2 linked regions of the Callithrix jacchus genome follow. The main gene of each other region encodes a partner of the protein of the gene in region 2 in a complex. Links are inferred from orthologs where the notes say so. Each region holds a gene or a part of one and is shown on either strand. Other genes may lie near its edges.

The links. Proteins that work in one complex are often made in the same cells at the same time.
Region 1: the proteins of CLTC (region 2) and DLGAP5 are in contact, whole or in part, in a crystal structure (PDB 7ZX4), measured with the Homo sapiens proteins. The link is inferred for Callithrix jacchus from reciprocal best matches to the Homo sapiens genes CLTC and DLGAP5. Residues at the interface, in NP_004850.1 of Homo sapiens: Val50, Arg64, Pro65, Ile66, Ser67, Ala68, Leu82, Lys83, Ala84, Thr87, Gln89, Phe91, Ile93, Lys96, Ser97, Lys98; in NP_055565.3 of Homo sapiens: Gly833, Asn834, Leu835, Ile836, Thr837, Phe838, Ser839, Pro840, Leu841.

Annotation. Positions count from the first base shown.
Region 1 is NC_133509.1:89,746,482-89,756,158, forward strand, and holds part of DLGAP5 (disks large-associated protein 5), read right to left. Parts: intron 8,169-9,677; coding exon 8,106-8,168; intron 7,010-8,105; coding exon 6,925-7,009; intron 6,495-6,924; coding exon of another isoform or gene 6,493-6,494; coding exon 6,370-6,492; intron 5,414-6,369; coding exon 5,343-5,413; intron 2,891-5,342; coding exon 2,616-2,890; intron 1,229-2,615; coding exon 1,101-1,228; intron 631-1,100; coding exon 504-630; intron 1-503. UniProt on the Homo sapiens protein: Potential cell cycle regulator that may play a role in carcinogenesis of cancer cells. Mitotic phosphoprotein regulated by the ubiquitin-proteasome pathway.
Region 2 is NC_133506.1:94,187,765-94,198,208, reverse strand, and holds the start of CLTC (clathrin heavy chain 1), read right to left. Parts: upstream 5,461-10,444; 5' UTR 5,234-5,460; coding exon 5,192-5,233; intron 1-5,191. UniProt on the Homo sapiens protein: Clathrin is the major protein of the polyhedral coat of coated pits and vesicles. Two different adapter protein complexes link the clathrin lattice either to the plasma membrane or to the trans-Golgi network.

The DNA of each region.
Region 1 (9,677 bases), on a different chromosome or scaffold from region 2:
ACTGTACTCCAGCCTGGGAGACAGCCGTTTCAAATAAATAAATAAAATAAAGTCATTCTCAAAAAAGATATGTATAATACAACAAATGAATAGTAAAAATATAGTGAGATACTTCTCATCTATTTGATTTGCAAACAGAATAGTGTGTATTGTATGCTATTGTATTTTTAAGAAAGAAAAATTGTGTATGTTTGTATTTGTCTACATGCATTAACTATCCATGGAAATATTCACAAGAAATGAGTAACACTGGCCTTCATGAAAGGTTCACAATATGCAGTTGGGACACAGTGCTGAGAAGGAGACTTCTCACTTGTACCTTTTGAATTAGGAACCACATGAATGTACTAGCTATCAAAAAAAAATTTTTAATTTACAAGATAAGAGAAAATCACCAAACGTCAAGTTTCCTCCCACTGTATGAAGGTTAAAAATTTTCGGTTTTGGTTTTAAATGTCTAGACATTAATACAAAATTCTTACACTAGAAACAGACAGACATACCTGAAATATGGCACATCACGGTAGGGCTGAGATATTTGACCTTCATTTGTTTCAAGTGATGAGACTTCTTTTATTGGAAGGTCATTTGAATCTTTAGTAGTAGCTTCATTTTTATTTAAAATATGTTCTATAAAGAAAGTCTTACATATAATTTCCAAAGCAACAATTCCTAAAATGACAGCCCCTAAAAAAACCTTTTAAAAATCCTTCAGTTTTTTTCCATGTTTGATTTTAAAATTTTATTTCTGTCTGAATGACTTCATTCACATTTCCCCTAAAGTAGCTCTGAATATTTTTTTCTTTAAATTTACATTTATTTCCCCTTTTATCTGTATTCTTCATTCCAATTCTGTCTTCAGATATCTTTACCCATGCCTTCCCATCTTTTCTGACAGCGAGTTCATATATGACCCTTAGTTCATATCCTCAAATGATATGGTGAAAAAGGGCTCTAAATGAATCTGACAATAATCCAGAAAAGTAAAAATTTAAATTACTACACCTGAAAGTAAAAGATTTTTTTGTATTATCAACAACATTAATCTAAAAAATAAATACATTAAATAAATAAATAAATACATTAATTAAATACTATACCTTCATGCCCAACAGTCAGAGGACCCAAAGGACATTGCAATTTATTTGAATCCTGCTGCACTGTCTTGGTAGAGTAAGTTTTACATTTTTGTGCCAAAATTTCTTTTGTTGCTTCTTGAGATTTATCACTAAAAACAATAGCAAAAATATACACTTGATGAAACATGAACTCCATATATCTAATTTTAGGGGTTTCAAAGTTGTGTCACTTTTTATAAATCTTGGCTAAAAAGGAAATTCTTCTATTTTTAAAAAAATGTGCATTCTGGAGGGGAGAAAATTTAAACACCTATAGTGTAAATGTCCATCTTTACTAATTAATTGCAATGATATTAAATATTTTGAAGACTTCTTTTTGGTTTTTTTTGAGATGGAGTCTTGCCCTTTTGCCCAGGTTGGAGTGCAATGGCCTGCTCTTTGGCTCACTGCAACCTCCACCTCCTGGGTTCAACCAATTCTCCAGCCTCAGCCATCCAGAGTAGCTGGGATCACAGGCAAGTGCCACTGCGCCCGGTATCTTTAGCAGAGACAGGGTTTCATCATGTTGCACCAGGCTGGTCTTGAACTCCTGACCTCAGGTGATCTGCCCACCTCAGCCTCCCACAGTTCTGGGATTACAGGCATGAACCACCGGGACTGGTGATTTTGAAGATTTTTAAAATTTTTATTTATTTACTTTTTTTGGTGCCATGACTTGGATGAATATTTCTTAATAGAACATAAACACTTAATAGTCTTAGATGCTGCTGAGCAGTTTCTAGTATATTTGCTGTCAGCCAGTCTTTGCAAAATGATCTTGCCTTTTCTTTTAAAGGTTCCAACTAATTTTTCCTGTTTTATAAAGTAATCATTTTTGTCTTCAGAAGCAGTTTTTCTAAATACTGAGCCAGAAAAAAATGAGGAAAAAGTCATATCTGAGCTACAGTATTATAACAAGTTTCTTCTTTTGAAAAATGTTATTTGTGTTAAGTAACTCATTAAAAACAAAAAAACCCCAAATTGTATAGTGAAAATAATAATGCATAGGAAATATAGAAACTGTCAAGTACATTATTGTACCTTCTGAAGAATTTTTTAAAAGAAAAAAATTTCATGGTTCATAACTAACATAGTTCAATAGCTAAACAACTTTTTAAGAGCACAGGCTAGCCGGGTGCGGTGGCTCACACCTGTAATCCCAGCACTTTGGGAGGCCGAGGCGGGTGGATCACGAGGTCAAGAGATCGAGGCCATCCTGGTCAACATGGTGAAACCCTGTCTCTACTAAAAATACAAAAAATTAGTTGGGCATGGTGGCGTGTGCCTGTAATCCCAGCTACTCAGGAAACTGAGGCAGGAGAATTGCCTGAACCCAGGAGGTGGAGGTTGCGGTGAGCCGAGATTGCGCCATTGCACTCCAGTCTGGGTAACAAGAGCGAAACTCTGTCTCAAAAAAAAAAAAAGAGCACAGGCTAAATATAAGAAAGGCATTTATTACCCATCTTAGCAAGGGACTTATTAATATTACATTCTTACACTTCTGTTTTTGAAGGAGTCCAGGTGTAACTGGGTGTCAAAAAAGCATTGGCACTTCTGGGAGTCATAGGTGTTACTTGATAGGTCTTGAGACCATCCAGTGGCTGAAACGTAAAATCTTTAGGTGCGAAGGAATTCTTCCCTTTCATTTTTGCAGAATGTATCTCAGGTAAGTTTTCCATTTTTGATAAGACTCCATCTGGATCTTTTCCATTTGTTGCACTAGTTTGTGAATCCAAAGTATTTTCTTCACTATAGACTTCACAAGAAATACCCTAGGATGTGAGTTAACATAGTAAGATTTCTCTCTTCTGAGGATATATTCAACCAATTTTTATATGTCTGAAAACATGACAACTGAAATATATGTACTACGTGCATAATTTGAAAGACAAAAACAGATACAGTTAAGTGTATACATGGAATCCGAAGACCGGTTATGCTAAACCATTGCTATTCCCCAGGAATAGATAGAACCAATTCTTATTAAAAGACTAATATCAGCCGGCGTGGTGGCTCATGCCTGTAATCCAAGCACTCTGGAGGCCAAGGTGAGCAGATCACCTGAGGTTGGGAGTTCAAGACCAGCCTGACCAACATGGTGAAACCCGATTTAAAAAGAAAAAAGAAAAGAAAAGAAAAAGACTAATATCTTTTAGAAATTACAACAAACTAAAAGAGAATGGAAAATTAATATGGAAAAACTTATTCAACGAACATAGACCTTTTTACTTAAATTATGTTGATAATTACAATGGTTTAAAATCAGAAATCTAACATTATGGAATGACTATTGTTAAGGACCAAATCCTTTACTTAAACAACCTTAGATTACAAATAACCTTACCACAATACTTTTCAATGTGACACAAAAGATTAACCATATAAAATACAAAGCATATTTACTATTTCAAGTCAATTTATGACTTGGTATTTAAATATAATTTCTAGAGGTTTCTAGGCTTCTGATTTTTAATAAGATATGAACTCAAACCCAGGTATTTCAACCTGGACAAAAGTTTAAGTAGCAACACTGTTGAGGCTAGCATGGCGGTCAAAGCAAAAATTAGTGATGATCCTTAAGGGTAGAATAAATCTTAAGGGAGGACCTATAAGGTCCAGCTGCTTTATCTGCAAAGATTCATTGTATGTTTCCTTTCTTGATCTGTGTTTGATTTTTTACTAAGAATTTAGCTAGGTTACTTAATCTTTGTTACTTTTTTTAAATTAAGAAATTACACTGGTGGGGAACAGTGGCTCACACCTGTAATCCTAGCACTTTGAGAGGCCAAGGCAGGTGGGTCACCTGAGGTCAGGAGCTCAAGACCACCCTGGGCAACATGGTGAAATGCCATTTCTACCAAAAATACAAAAGTTAGATGGGTGTGGTGGCATACAGCTATAATCCCAGCTATTTGGGAGGCTGAGGCAGGAGAAGCACTTGAACCCTGGAAGTGGAGGCTGCAGTGAGCTGAGATGGCATCATTGCACTCCAGCCTGGGCAACGGAATGAGACTCTGTCTCAAAAAAAAAAAAAAAAAGAAATTATACCATAGATTTATAAGCCAAGGGATCCTCAAATGGGGCATATTTTTTTGAAGACCTTATTAGAAACCGTTGCAGATGCTGGCAGAAATTTTAGTTTAATTCTCACAACTACTCTATGTAGGTATTCCATATTAGGAATAAGAAAACAAACTCATAAATTACATAACTTGCCCAGGGTTATATAATATAGCTAATTGGAAGCAGAGGGAGTATTCAAACCCAGGCCTAAATGAATCCAAAGTCAATGCATTTCACCCCGCTCCATCCTATGTCTTGGCTAATTCCCACATAAAGGTTTCTCTCAGCTGTGTTTTTATTATTTTTCTCCATCTTCTAACCAAATTATGCTTTCCCTACATACAAAGCTCTGAAGGGTGCAGTGGCTCACATCTGTAATCCCAGCACTTTGGGAGGCCAAGGCAGGTGGATCACGAGGTCAGGAGTTTGAGACCAACCTGGCCAATATGGTAAAATCCCATCTCTACTAAAAATACAAAATTTAGTGGAGTGTGGTGGCACGTGCCTGCAGTTCCAGCTACTTGGGAGGCTGAGGCAGGAGAATCACCTGAACCTGGGAAGCAGAGGTTGCAGTGAGGTAAGATCATACCACTGCACCCCAGGCTGGACAACAAAGCGAGACTCTCTCAGAGAAAAAAAAAAAAAAAAAGCTCTGAAAATAAGATACCTGAAAAACAACAAGAACAAATCCTCTTGATGCTTTCTTATGGTCTGAGAAGTTTTTTATTTATTTTTTAATTTTATTTATTTAAATGGAGTTTAACTTGTTTACCCAGGCTGGGGTGCAACCGCACGGATCTTGGCTCACCGCAACCTCCGCCTCCCAGGTTCAAGCGATTCTCCTGCCTCAGCCTCCCGAGTAGCTGGGATTACAGGCATGCACCACCATGCCTGGTTAGTTTTGTATTTTTAGTAAGGACCAAGTTTCTCCATGTTGGTCAGATTAGTCTAGAATTCCTGACCTCAGATGATCTGCCTGCCTCGGAATCCCAAAGTGCTGAGATTACAGGTTTGAGTCACCGTGCCTGGCCTGGTTCAGGAAGTTTTAACATACATGTAGGTTAACCTCTTGAAGCAGTTCTGTCTGTTTAATTTCAACTTTATGAAAGTAGCAATGAGATTTTCAAAGCATCTAGAAGTAAAAAGATGTTTATTCTCTACCTTGTCAGGTTTTGTTTCTATGTTTTTGGCAGGTCTTCCTTTATTTGGCACCTTTCTTTCTGGTTCGTTTTCTAAAATAACAATAAAATAAAATATTTTACTAGATAGAAATGCTACATTAAAATACTAGGTAACTTGGGAAAGGAAAAGAAGAAACAGGAGAAATACATGTTTTGAAGGATTTTTATTATAAAAAGCCATATTATAAAAGAGGTTAAAAACAAATGGAATTTCCTGCCAAGTACAGACCATCTGCTTTCAAAGCCAGAGTGTTTCACCTTTTCCCTCTGAATACCAAATACAAATTGAGTATCCCGTATCCAAAATGCTTGAAACCAGAGGTATTTTAGATTCCAGATTTTGGAATGTATATACTATACTTACAGGTTCAGCATACCTGATACAAAAATCTAAAATCTGAAATACTCCAGTGAGCATTTCCTTTGAGCATGACCTTTAAATGTCATGTCGTTGCTCAAGATTTTGAATGTTTTGATTAGGGTTGCTCAACCTGTACATATTTATTACAATTAGAAAAATACAAAAGACTATGAAGAACAGCAATGAAAAGATCACCCAGATTCCATTACTCTGTTGTCACTTAGAGTATGGTTTTCCAGTCCTATATCCACATAATCACATACTGTTTTTTAGAATTGTGATCCTACTGTACAGTTTGACCTGCTTTTCTTTGCCCACTTAATATATCATGAACCATGTCATTAAGTGCTCTTTTATAATATTGTTCTTAATGGCTACATTATATTGCCCCAAATAAATGAACTATGATTTATCAGGACCATTAATTTTTCATTTTGAAACACTGCTTATACCAATTCAGGTCTTCAATGTTTGGGCATCCATGATGTGCCAACTGGATGTCAAGACACAGAATCTAGTTTCAGGAATTACAATTTCCTGTTTCCTTCTCTCCTACTCAAAGTACTTGTTGATTTTTGAAACAGAATACAAAAACCTCAAGGACCAAACATTCTAGTTCAGTAACTGATCAAGGAATAGTTCTTACCATTAGCAGCTCTTCTGACTGGCTTTCTTGCTGTGGTAGATGAGACTGTTCTGGGAACCTGCTTTGCCGCTTCAGTAGCTGATCGAGTCATTCTCAATGCCATGGGCATTACAGGCTGCACAACTGTGTGGAAAAAAAATAATCAAATGTCCTTTGTAGTTATTAAATTATGGCTGTGAAGCCGGGCATGGTAGTACATGCCTGTAGTCCCAGCTACTCAGGAGGCTGAGGCGGGAGGATCACTTTAGCCCAGAAGTTTGAAACCAGCCTGGGCAACATAGAGAGGTCCCATTATCTAAAAAAACTGTAAAAATCAGCTGGGCATGGTGGCAAGCCTGTAGTTCTAGCTACTTAGGAGGCTGAAGTGGGAGGATCACTTGAACCCAGGAGGTGGAGGCTCCAGTGAGCTATGATTGCGCTACTGCACTCCAACCTGGGCGACAAGCCTGTCTCAAATAAATAAATCAATAGATTCCAGTTGACCTTCTGGACACTTAAAAAAAATTATGGCTGTGGTAGCCTTAGAGAATTTATAGTAATTGCTAATATTCCTACCTTTTTTCTCTTTGTCTGACACTTTCTTTTCAGAAGTTTTTCTTTGACCAGGTCGGACTGCTTGAACATCACTGTCATCATCCATCTATTTAAGAGATTAGGTGCCATGTGATTTAATTGCAAAATGAATCAAAGCACCACATTTTTAATCCATAAATTGATTCCTCATCTGAAATATGATCGTTGTAAATGACCCAACCAAAAAAAAAAAAACCTACTAACCCAAATAAAATGAGATAAAATAAAAAAGCTTTCCATTAAGCTTCCAAAAAAGCTTACATCCTTTTTCAGAATCACAGATTTTAGAAAATGCAAATAACCTAAGCTATTAAAAACTGCTAACTATAACTTGCCTTCTGAAGGTTTTTAAACACTCCAGACATGCTTTCACTTCAAGAGATTTTAATTTTGCCTAGAAAATGCTTCTCCTGGATAAAAAGCTCTTTTCCATGGTTCTCTCCTGTACTCCCATAATGACTTTACTCAAAAGGCTTTCATCTCAGAGAGGCCTTCCTTGACTGCTCAATCAAAATTCTACCCCCCACACCTACTTCTAGCACATCCCATCTCCCTTTTAAAAAATCTCCTCCATAATACTTATGCTCTTCTAACATATTATGTTTGTTTTTTTTTTTTTTTAACTGCCTTACATGTAAGTTCCACAAAGACAGGAAATTTATTATTATATTCAAAAGCTCACAACAATGCCAGGAACATCATAGCAATGCAAAATCAATTACATATGCATATGTGGAACTTAGCTTCCTTCCCTGATAAAGAGGCATACTAATTCCCTTTGCCCACTTCACTTTTAGTAACCCTCCTAATATCTTTATTACAGTATTGTGAAGACCCATAAGTTTATAACACCTACCCTGTGTGTTTTCCTCCCCATCTGCATTTTATGCAGGTAACTTGAATGCATAACATGAACCCAGTAAACAAAACAAGAGTGTGACACAAAGACAGTTTGCCATGGATCTCATAAGGAATGTTGGAGCAAATATTTTAAGTGAAATTACTCTACATCACCATACCAAAAACAGTGACTTTCATACCTGTTAACTCTAGTAAATTAACCATTATGCTTGATTCTGATACTAGATTAAAAGTGAATTTATTCACTCTGAAAAAAAGTACAATTTATCATTTTAGTAACAATTATCTACTATCAACTATACCTTAGTCTGCTCCATTTGGTCTTTGGCCTTTGACCTTGTAATCCGTACAGAAGATGAAATAGCCTTAGAATATTCAAAAGAAAATAAACTTTAAAAAAACGAACTGGCAAATAAGAAAAAAAAAAAGAACTGGCAAAGGTTTACTTCCATATCTTATTACAAAATAAAGTTCTCTTTTTAAAGTTAAATTCTATCCTTAATCCCTTATAGCAGCAAAAATATACTTACTTAAATTCCTATTTTTTTCTGGTTCTAGCCTGATTTAAATTAAGTTTAAGTCAATAACTTCAAAAATCACTCATATTTCTCAATGAGAAAGAAATTTCAAACCACATTTTCCAGGTATTGTAATCCTCATTAATATGATTAACTAGACAGTAAGAATGCCACAGATGAGCAGATTAGAGTTATTAGGATCTTTGTTTTCTATTTATAAAAAGCTATCTTACAGCTTTCCTAGTTTTGAGTTCTAACAATTTGCTTTTGATTCTCATGATTATGCACTTGTCCACTGTCCATAAGAAAACAGAGACTTGATCACAAAATGTGGAAAACTCTAGCAAGAGAAAAAATGATTAAAAAGTGATAAGATATTTACTAAGTCTGTAAAATTCCTTAAAAAGCATAATCACAGACTTCTCTAGATTAGAAACCATTTTTTTCTAATCAGTGAAAACCTAGTGCTAAAAACTAGTCTTTCTTCTAGAGTGCATAAAGAAAGCAGAATTCATCAATGGCTACCGTAAAAACAGAATATAAAAACACTGATTGGTGAATCTTATTATTTAATACCATGATGTACCTCTGTTCCTATTTAACACTTTTTAAATAGTTGTTTGGAGTTTAGACCAGTGATTGGTATCCTACATATTCTTGAAAAGCCAGCTTAAATCTAACCCTTTCCAAGAGTAGTTCTTTGTTGTTCCTCCAAACAGAAACAATCTCTCCCTCCTCTCATATAGAAAATATTTATCTATATCTTGCCACCTTGAATTGTATCCTATTAGTTTTGGTCTCTTCCATATTATACTAAGGTTATACCAGAGTAAATAATCAAGGATCTGTCCAATGAATCAATGAGATTCACAATGCCAAGAATAATATTCAAGTTTTACTTAAATCAGGAATGTACATACAGTCAATGAGATCATCAGTGACTACAAATTTACAATCTAGCTGCTTTTGTTCAAACTTTATCCTTCCTGACTCACTGACCACACTCTCCTTTAGATTACTCTGCCTTTAACCTTCTATCCTTTTAGTTCTCTTGCCTCTCTGCCCAGTCCTCAGCCTGGTACCTGACTTCTGCCCACCTGAAGGTGCTCTCTAGAGTCCACTTTTTCATAATTTTATATATCCTAATTGGAATGGTCTCAGTCCCACAGCTTAAATTCCTGTCCATACTCCCAGTATTATATCCTAAATCTACATCCTAGCACCAATTTCCATCTTGCTTTCCAAATTTTTACTCACTGGTATCTAGATGTTTTACACAAGTTTAAGATTTTTAAAAAAGGTTATTAGCATGCACCCACTTAAACCTGTTCCTTTTCTTGTCTTATCTCTTTTAGC
Region 2 (10,444 bases):
AAAATACAAAAAATCAGCCAGATGAGGTGGCAGGCACCTGTAATCTAATCCCAGCTATTCAGCAGGCTGAAGCAGGAAAATCACTTGAACCCACGGGTCAGTGGTGGCAGCGAGCTGAGATCATGCCATTGCACTCCAGGTTGGGTGACAAGAGTGAGTCTCTGTGCCTCCCCCTGGCAACCAAAAAAAAAAAAGAAAAAAGAAATACACACTAGGCTGGGTGCAGTGGCTCATGCCTGTAATCCCAGCACTTTGAGAGACCGAGGCAGGTGAATCATGAGGTCAGGAGTTCAAGACCAGCTTGGCCAACATGGTGAAACTCCTGTCTCTACTAAAAATATAAAAAATTGGCCAAGAGTGGTGGTGCGCGCTTGTAATCCCAGCTACTACTCTGGAGGCTAAGGCAGGAGAACTGCTTGAGCCCAGGAGGCAGAGGTTGTGGTGAGCAGAGATCACCCATGCCACTGCACTCCAGCCTGGGTGACAGAGGAAGACTCCCTCCCTCTCTCTCTCTCTCTCTCTTACACACACACACACACACACACACACACACACACAAACACAGACAAATTAATTGCTTTTATCTGTTTTTTCACTTTTAACGTGGCTGCTAGAAAATGCAAAAATATGTGAGGCCACGGGCGGCGGCTCACGCTTATAATCCCAGTACTTTGGGAGGCCAAGGTGGGCAGATTATTTGAGGTCAGGAGTTGGAGATAAGCCTGGTCAACATGGTAAAGCCTTGTCTCTACTAAAAATACAAAAATTAGCCAGGCATGGTGGCAGGTGCCTATAATCCCAGCTATTCAGGAGGCTGAGGCAGAAGAATTACTTGACTCTGGAAGTTGCGGTGAGTTGAGATCACACCACTGCACTCTAGTCTGTGTGACAAAGTAAGACTGCCTTTAAAAAAAAAAACAACAGTATGTGGCTCATATTTTTCTATTGGAAACACTGGTTTCAACAACCCCTAAAGCCCTGTTCTACTATACCACATCATTAATCTATAAACAAGTAGAGAGAACTCAATTCTCTGGGTCTAAGTTCTCTTTTTAAGGCTAACTATTCAATTTCTTTGAAATACTTTGTGTCAGAAGACCCAGGCACACATCTCATTTGGACAGCATTCCCACTACTTTTGAGTCTCACTTTTTAGAAAGCTGTCTGGAGGACTGAATGAAGACCTGAAAATACCTAACCAAATTTACAGCAGTAATAAGGTCTCAAGTCTGCTTCTAGTCATTGTTCATTACCACCACTTTCCAAGACAGTATTCAGTTAAAACTTCTGAACAATGAGTGTTTTAATTTTATCTAATGAAATACATATACATGAGTGGTAAGCTAAATCTTCAAACTTACAAAGCACATCAGCATGGCCTGTAATTGTGCAGTCTAATATTGTAGTCAATTGTCACATGTGGCTATTTACATTTAAATTAATTAAAAAGAAACTGAAGCACAAATTTAGTTCCTGAGTCACATCAGCCACATTTCAAGTGCTCAATATCCCTATGTAGTTAGTAGACAGTTCCATCATTGAAGAAAGTTCTATTGGACAATAACTCTCAAAGAGAAAAAGCCACAACAGTAACAATGACAGAGAAAACATCTTGTTAAAAATAATTCAAATAACATATAGAGTTAAACATATGCATGGAAGAAACAATTTTGCAAAGAAGCTGAGGACTCAATGTAAATGGAACCTTTTAAAAGCAAGGTACAAGTTCCAATTATGGTCAGAAACAATTGTTCAAGAGCAACTACCAAGGTTCCTGAAATGTGAATTTTCCTAAATACTCAAATGAAAATGATTGTGTTCTACATACACACCATTCTGTGCCTTATTCCTAATCAGAGTGAAAGCACTTTCACTAAAGTTAACCACACCACTTTAAGCTAAGTAAACTGACCATTAAGAAAATTCTGAAGAATATGATACATTTTAAACTTAGAAGTTATTCCCAGGAGACTGCAGCATAATTCCAGGAAGTATACCTCTTCCAGACAGTACAACTAAGCATGTAGTAAATCCTAGTACTTAGCATTGCTTTCTATTTGCAACCCAAAATAACTATAGCAGGAATCCCTAACATTTGACTCAACGAAACATTCCATGCCTGCTTTTATGGATCAAAGGGCAAAGAATAGGTTAGGGTGATTTTTAATTGGAGACTCAAGGAGTCTAGAAATACAAAAGAATGTTTCAGGTGGCCTAAAGATACTTAATGTGCCAAAAAATTGAGAATTACAGGCAATAATTTATATATGTAGCCTAGGATTTTTAAGAAACTGCAATTCCAACAATATCTTGCTCAAATAGGCATTCATTTATTAACTGCTATCCATCTAGAAAAAAAGAAATATTCATAAATTAAAATTCATTTACTATCAGTCCACTGATGATGACAGATCCTTCAACTGGACAATGTAGTTAAAGGGTATAAAAATAAGTTCATTTACAGTTTCATAAGCTAACTCTATACTCATACTTAAGTTCCTCATTTCTTGTTTCCAGTTTTTATCTTACGTGTTTCAGAAAGTTTTCTGCATCTTAGCAAACAGGTAGAAGCTCAGAGGTCAGAGACCAAAGACACCAATCAAAATAATCCTTATTAGTTCGGCTTGGGGGTTCACACCTACTATCCCAGCACTTTCGGGGGGCAGAGGCAAAGGATTGCTTGAGCCCAGGAGATTAGCCTGGGCAACATGGTGAAGCCCAATCTCTACAAAAAATACAAAAATTAGCCAGGTGTGGTGGCTCATGTCTGTAGTCCCAGCTACTCAGGATGCTGAGGTGGGAGGACGGCTTGAGTCCTGGAGGTTAAGGCTGCAGTGAGCTGTGATGGCACCACTGACCTCTAGCATGGAAGACAGAGCAAAAACCCTGCCTCTTCAAAAAACAAAAACCTTCTAAGTTTTAAAAAGGGAGGAGATAATGATATGAAGTCAGGACATACATTATCATGGAAGAGGCTGCGGTTATTGGGCTCTGCAATTAATCAGCTGGAGCACACAGTCACATTAGTTAAGCAAGCTTAAGTTTAGGCATGACATAGCAATCCAAAAAACAGACTGAATTTTTCAATTTACAAATCTGCTTTATATTCAAAATCTTCAAATTATTTGAGAAGAAAATGGCTTTGCTCAAGTATCTGCAGAAACTTTGAACCAGTTAGAAAACAGATGTATTAAATTTGTCTTCGATAACTGACGAGGTTGGGTTCCAATCTTTGGGATCATTTAACAATTCTTGTCTCCTCTTTAAAAGAAATGAAAAGCTATTACTCGAACCACCACAAGATTTAGTAGTGAGCTATACATCTGCCGTGGAAAATAAACAGCAGCTGTACTTGATTCTCTGTGTGTGGTTTATAAACATTTGTCTGCAGAAAGATATTTCAGATGCACATTAGTATGAAAATAAGCCCATGTTTTCCTTTCACACTTAAGAACAGCACCTTCTCAACTCTCCACATTCATTTGCCACCCCAATTTAACAGAGGTAACCACGGCAATTAAACTAGAATTGATCAGAAAAACATGTCCATTTTTGTCACTGAACATTTTTTTTCTTCTTTTTTAACCTGGCAACTTTCATTTAAGTCACTGAACATTTTCAACCTTCTGCAAAAGTTTTTTTATTGCCAAGGTATATTCCATTACTTCAGATGAGTTATTTGAAAATTATGACTAAAGAAAGTGCATTATTTAACTCATTTTATGGGTAAAGACTTATTATTCTTTACATTTCAAGCCTTAAAGGAAAATAATTCCTTGCTAGTGCAAATATGGTAATACCTGCAAAGAAATATGAAATTACGTTACTTATAGCTTGAATTATTAAACCCTTTTATTAACAAGAATCCTTTATGCATGTTATGCCAATGGGGGAAATGTAAATAAAAATGGTCTTCAATGGTAAAGTGTCTAACAGGTCACCGGTATTAGTGTCATGCCAAACCACCGCATTCTCTGTTATGATGGAATTAGCCCTTCAGACCATTGAGCTGAGGCAGGCTTCTTTAAGAGGATATTTGGGAAGAGAGCAAATTAATAGGAATAAGTTATTTTAGCTACAGTAAAAATCAGGATTGGTGACACCGGAAAATCAAAAGCTCTGAAGAGGTTTAAATTCAGTGAAGCCTTCCAATGGTCACCTGCCTAGGCCGGCAACTGGCATGCTGCCAGATGAGACAATAATATGTTGCCTCCAGGATAAGGAACCATGGGGAAGAACTCTAGAACTTACTAAAGGGAAGCCAGTTACAGACAAAATAACCCTGCAAGTCTCAGAGCAGCTGTGCTCTGTCCCCAGGGCTCTGTTCAATTCCATATGATCCTGAGGAAGATATCAAAACTACCTGCTACTACTAGAGAAGACTAGAAGATAACCTCTGCGTAACTTTCCCACCTTCTAGAACCAGAGAGGGGTTAAGAGCCACAACATCCCCAGAGAAATAAAAAAGTGGGGGAAGGGAGGCGAGTTTCCCTAGGGATCTTGACCCCACACACTCTGAGATTGACAACGTTCTGAGAAACGCGTTCCCCCATTCTACCCTCGTTCCGTTCTTTCAGTGACCTTCTGTCCCTACTGCCTCAGGGAAGGCAAGAGACAAACCAACGCCTCACCAACCCTCAACCCTCACCACCGGAGAAGGTGCCTTTCTCAGTTGAGAGCCGCAGAGGGAGGAAAAAAAAAAAGGTTGCTCCTCCCCAACCCACCCGCCCCACAACTCCTGGGTGCAGACACGATGAGGAAAAGAGGAAAGCAATAGAAGGTGACAGCCCTGCACTGGCCCAGGGGATGATAAGAATCCTTGCTCTGATAGAAACAAGGGAGAATCCCCCCTCCCACTCCCCTACCCAAATGAATGAACTAAATAAAATGGGGAGGGGAGAGTTAGTAGGCGCAGTACCGGCCATCCAGGAAGCAAGATCGAGAGGCCTTTGGATCCAGGCCTGGCCTTGCAGCCCTTTGCTCCCCAACTCCCGTCCTTTCCATCCAAGCCCCACATCATTTAACCTTTTAAGCTTTCTAAGATACTGCCCCCTCCTCCATCTACCCCAAACACCGATAACCTCCCCCCCCCACCCTTCCAGCTCCAATACTGCTCAGGCCCAGACTCCAGCTTCTTCCATCCTTCCTACCACCTTCTCCACAGCCCTCACCAGCCCGGGCCCGGCCGCACCTGGAGATGCTCCTGAAAACGAATTGGCAGAATCTGGGCCATGGCGCTGTCGGGGGGTATGGTCTCCTCCTGTCACTGGGACTGCGGGGCAGTGGCTGCCCGGGCTCTCCAAGGGAGAGGAGGAGAAGGGGAGGGGGAAGGCTGGGCTCAGCAGGATCCTCTCCGGGGACGCAGGAAACTGGCAGGCGGACGAAAGAGCTCGGGTCGGGGGCGGAGGCTCCAGGGGCCAAGAGAGCCGCAATGGCGGAACCGGGCGCAGCGCAGACTCCGGAAACGGCTGAGCCCTGCGGATGGATCCCAGCGACAGAACTCCGCCCAGTCGCCTCACTCTCCTCCGCCTTATGTACCCTTCCGAGGAGCGGCGCGCGGCGGGCGCAGGAATTCGCGGCGCAGTGCGCCCAAACCCTCGCGTCCTGACGCATATGGGAAAACAGAGGAACCAGAGGGACTACTTTTTAGACTCATAATTTTCGCCAATCTTCTTTTTCTCCCCCCACCGCGGCTTTTTTTTTCATTTTGCCACATCATGCGACTCGGAGCGACCAACGTCACTTCCGTGGGTGCTTTAGGTCCCACCCACGTACTTCCATGTGCACGTGATGCTGATGGGGAAGGGTCGGCTGATTGCTGCCAGAATGGAGAGTGCGTTCCAAGGAAATGCAAGGTCTTCAGGGAGTGAGGTGGCTGTTGGGCCACTTTGAGGAATAGCGGGTGCCGCTTCCTTCCCCTGAGGCCCTTGCCTGTTTCGACTGAGCCCTTTACAGGAGGACATGGCGGGAGCATACGGGTGCAGCCTCCCGCCCTCTCCGTGACTCAGGGAAACGGCCTCGCCGCAGAGTGCTCCCTCGGCAGCTGCCTGCAGCACTCCTCCCCCGCCAGGCTTCAGAGTGGTGGTTTCCTACAGCCTAGGGAGGAGCCCTGAAACGGGGTTTAACATCCTCCCTGCCCTCGCACGCGCCCTTCTGACGGTTGGCGAACCTGATGCGCGGATTCTAACTAGAACCAGCACTCTCTTCGGGTGTTAGATAATTAGCTCAAAGGACAGCGAAGGCCATTTATGATGCCTCTCAAGCTGGCCTTATAACAGCTTTTCTTAACGTTTTTTGCGGACATTTTGTCGGACATATGCCGGCCTAGCTCAGTGGTGAGTTTCGTTAAAGAATTCGAGTATCCGAACGTTAAGGAGGATTTTTTTTTTTTTTTTTTTTGCCACATCAAACTTATGTCTCTTTAGATAATTAGGTTAAAGATGGTTGGTAAAACCTGAAGGTTCCTGGAGGAAAGAGATGAACTATTAGCCGTGTTATTTCGGTGGGATCATCTCAACACAGGTTCCTCTAGGTTAGCAGTGTAGAAATGTGGCGCTTCAAAGCCGGAGCATCCAGTCAAAGAACATGAAGGTGTCAACGGCATTCACTGATCAATAACCACCTTCCAGCACTTCCATGCTAAAGTATAAGCCATAATAGTATTTCACAGTGGCACCAATAAAGGATAAAAGAAGTTGCTTCTGTGCCTTTTATCTTTATAAAGGTGATTTCTCCCCCCAGAAAGAAAAACTCAAGTCCACAGTAATTATATTTAGTGCCCTTTTCAGATAAAGGACGTAAAACCCTATTGGGAAGACGGTAATTTTGTGTTAAGCAGTCTTGGTTAGAGTGAGAAGTTCGCCAATCATTTTAGTTGCTTCTAGTGTTTTTCCCTTAACTGTCTCACATACTGAGCATGAGAGAAGACTGGCAGGTAAGAGGGCAGTCAGAGATTGTCCTACAAAGAAAAACCTTGCCACCATGTTGTAAGAGTGAATATTTATGCTTGCAAAATTTCTTTTTGTATCGTTAAGCTAAATACACGAAGATCCTCTGTGTTCTGCAACATTTGAAATGACCTTTCTAATGCCTAATAGTAACTGGTTTAAACCCTTTTTGGAAGTAGACAAATTCTAAATTAAAATTCTAAGGGAGTAATTGTTTTATTACAGTAATTCAATAGATTGATCAAGTTATATTTTCAGTCTCAGAATCTGGAGATAAAAGAGCTGTATCATGAATTGGCTGCCAAAATTTAATTTATTAATGTGTCTTGCATTTTCATACAGATCTTGTAACTTTAAGTACATTTAGAATCCCAAAAGCAGTTGATTTTAGCTATTTGGTGTGGAATATCTAACCAAGAAGTGCACTGAGGTTCTGTTAGTGACTGCTACGTTATCACACATAGAAATCTGATGAATACACTGTTTTGAGAAATAATTTAGGAAGAGGAAAAATAGATTTTGATATTCTGGATCATTTTGAAATGATCTTCAAATCAATCCAAAAATTTCCAAAAGGAAAAAAAAAAGTCAAGATGATAAACATTAAAAAAAAAAAACAAAAACAGCAAACCCTATGCCTTTTTAAAGATGAATAATTGGAGTAGGGTAATAGGTTTTTTTTAATGGGAGTCTGCTGTTCTTGCTGACAGTATAAAGGCAGTTTCACTGGTTTAGAAAGCCCAAAAGCTGAGGCCATGTTAACAGAGTATGTGAGGTATGTTCTTGCTAACAGTATAAAGGCAGTGTCACTGGTTTAAAAACTGCAAAGGCTGAGGCCCTGTTAAGAGTTACCTAAGCAATATCTGAATGGCACTGTTTTCACACATTACTTTAAGTTAGAGGGGAGAACAGATAACCTAACAGACCGGGAAGCAAATCCTAATACCCAGAATGTTTTTTTCTTTTTTTTCAGACAGTCTTGCTTTGTTGCCCAGGCTAGAGTACAGTGGCTTGATCTCAGCTCACTGCAATCTCTGCCTCCCAGGTTCAAGCAATTCTCCTGCCTCAGCCTCCCGAATAGCTGGGATTACAAGTTTGTGCCACCATGCCCGGCTAATTTTTGTATTTTTAGTAGAGATGAGGTTTCACTATGTTGGCCAGCCTGGTCTTGAACTCCTGACCTCGTGATCTGCCTGCCTTGGCCTCCCAAAGTGCTGGGATTACAGGGGTGAGCCACTGCACCTTTCTTCCAGAATGTTTTTTTTTTTTTTCAACGATGCAGTATGACAGTCTTTTTTTTTTGCCAATCAGTTTGAGCTTATAAGGTTGCTTAGGTTAGCCTTGAACTCATGACCTCGCCTTCGCAAGCGCCACGACCTCCGGCGGGAGCCACTTTGGACCCCAACATAGTCTTTTAAAAGATAATGCTATGAATGATCACCCTAGCTTTTGGTTTCAGAAAATGTTTTAGCAAGGTAGCCATGTTAATAAAATAAATGGTGAAGTTAAGGCTATTTTTGTCATAATGCTCATCAGCAGTTCGTCCCTATCATGAGTCATAGCAAGTGCCATTAGCAAAACTACATTGCTTGGTCTGTTATTTTGAGGAGTGCTAGTTTTTCAAAACCTATACAAGAAACCTGTATATTGTCACTAATTTTAATGTTATGCTAACAACTAGGATATATACATATAACCCTCAATGGAATGACACCTCAAAAAAAACCACAAAAAACCTCTTACTGTAGGATTTCTCTGTAGCTGTTCATCTTCAAGCAGCCCTGGCATTAATGCCCCTGCTTTTTAAAAACCTGATTTTTTAAAAACAGCTTGAGGCTGGGTGCGGTGGCTCAAGCCTGTAATCCCAGCACTTTGGGAGGCCAAGGCGGGTGGATCACGAGGTCAAGAATTCGAGACCATCCTGGTCAACATAGTGAAACCCCATCTCTACTAAAAATACAAAAAATTAGCTGGGCATGGTGTCGCGTGCCTGTAATCCCAGCTACTCAGGAGGCTGAGGCAGGAGAATTGCCTGAACCCAGGAGGTGGAGGTTGCGGTGAGCCGAGATCGCGCCATTGCGCTCCAGCCAGGGTAACAAGAGCGAAACTCCGTCTCAAAAAAAAAAAAACAGCTTGAATTTGCTGCATTGCAAAAGTCACAAAGGCATATCTCACATACTCAGAGATTAATTGTAAAGCAGAATTTTAATCCACTTTACCAAATGTTTACAATTCAGATTCTAATAAAGCCATAAAAGACATACTTTAGTATTATCCAAGTAAGATACCTGGTTTTGCCATTTGAACAGCAGCTTTGAAGCATCTCAACCCCCTGGGGCCATTGATATGAATCCCAGCAGGGTTAGACTGGCTAGGTCATTATCTTTTCATGCAAGATAAAGAACAGCCTATCAAATGTGAGTAAACAAATGCTCACTCTATTTTGACCCTGTGCAAGTCACTGACTATAGGCAAGGCTCCCCTCTCCAAAATGAAAAAATGAAAGCAGCATTTACAAAGCAACAAGATTTTTTTTCTTCCTTTTTTTGAGTCTTGCTCTTGTCATCCAAGCTAGAGTGCAATGGTATGATCTTGCCTCATTGCAACCTCTGCCTCCTGGGTTCAAGCAATTCTGCTTCAGCCTCCTGAGTACCTGGGATTACAGGCACCAGCCACCATACCTGGCAAATTTTTGTATTTTCAGTAGAGATGGGGTTTTCACTATGTTGGCTAGGCTGGTCTTGAACTCCTGACCTCAGGTGATCTGCCTGCCTCAGCCTCTCAAAGTGCTGGGATTACAGGCGTGAGCCACCACACCCAGCCCCGAAAGAACAAAATTTTAATGGCCTTTTAATTTTACTATGAAATGTACCCGACTTAAACTTTTTTTTTTTTTTGTAACATTCTTGGAGTATAGACTTATACTCTTGACATCATCCACTGGTAAGGCTTGTTTTAAACTTTTAAATAGATAGCAATAAGATCTATAGTGAATCTTTACTCTGTATCAGCATTGGGCATGTTCTAAGTGAAAAGCAAAGACTAACTGTGGGGATCCAATCAGGTCACAGTATATGGGGCCCACCCATGTTTTAGAAGGGTTAAATCAGATCCTGGCAGAGGAATGAAGTGGTTCATGATATTACCTTAAAAAGTCATCTCACAAAAATTGGTTAAGGCAGGGCCTGGTGGCTCACACCTGTAATCCCAGCACTTTGGGAGGCCAAGGCGGGTGGATCCCCTGAAGTCAGGAGTTTGAATTGAGAGCAGCTTGGCCAACATGGTGAAACCCTGTCTCTACTAAATATATAAAAATTAGCTGGGCATGTTGGCAGGCACCTGTCATCCCAGCTACTTGGGAGGCTGAGGCAGGAGAATCACTTGAACCTGGGAGGCAGAGGCTGCAGGGAGCCACTGAGATCACACCACTGTACTCCAGCCTAGGTGACAGAGCGAGACTCGGTCTCAAACAAACAAAAAAGCTTCTGGATGCCTTC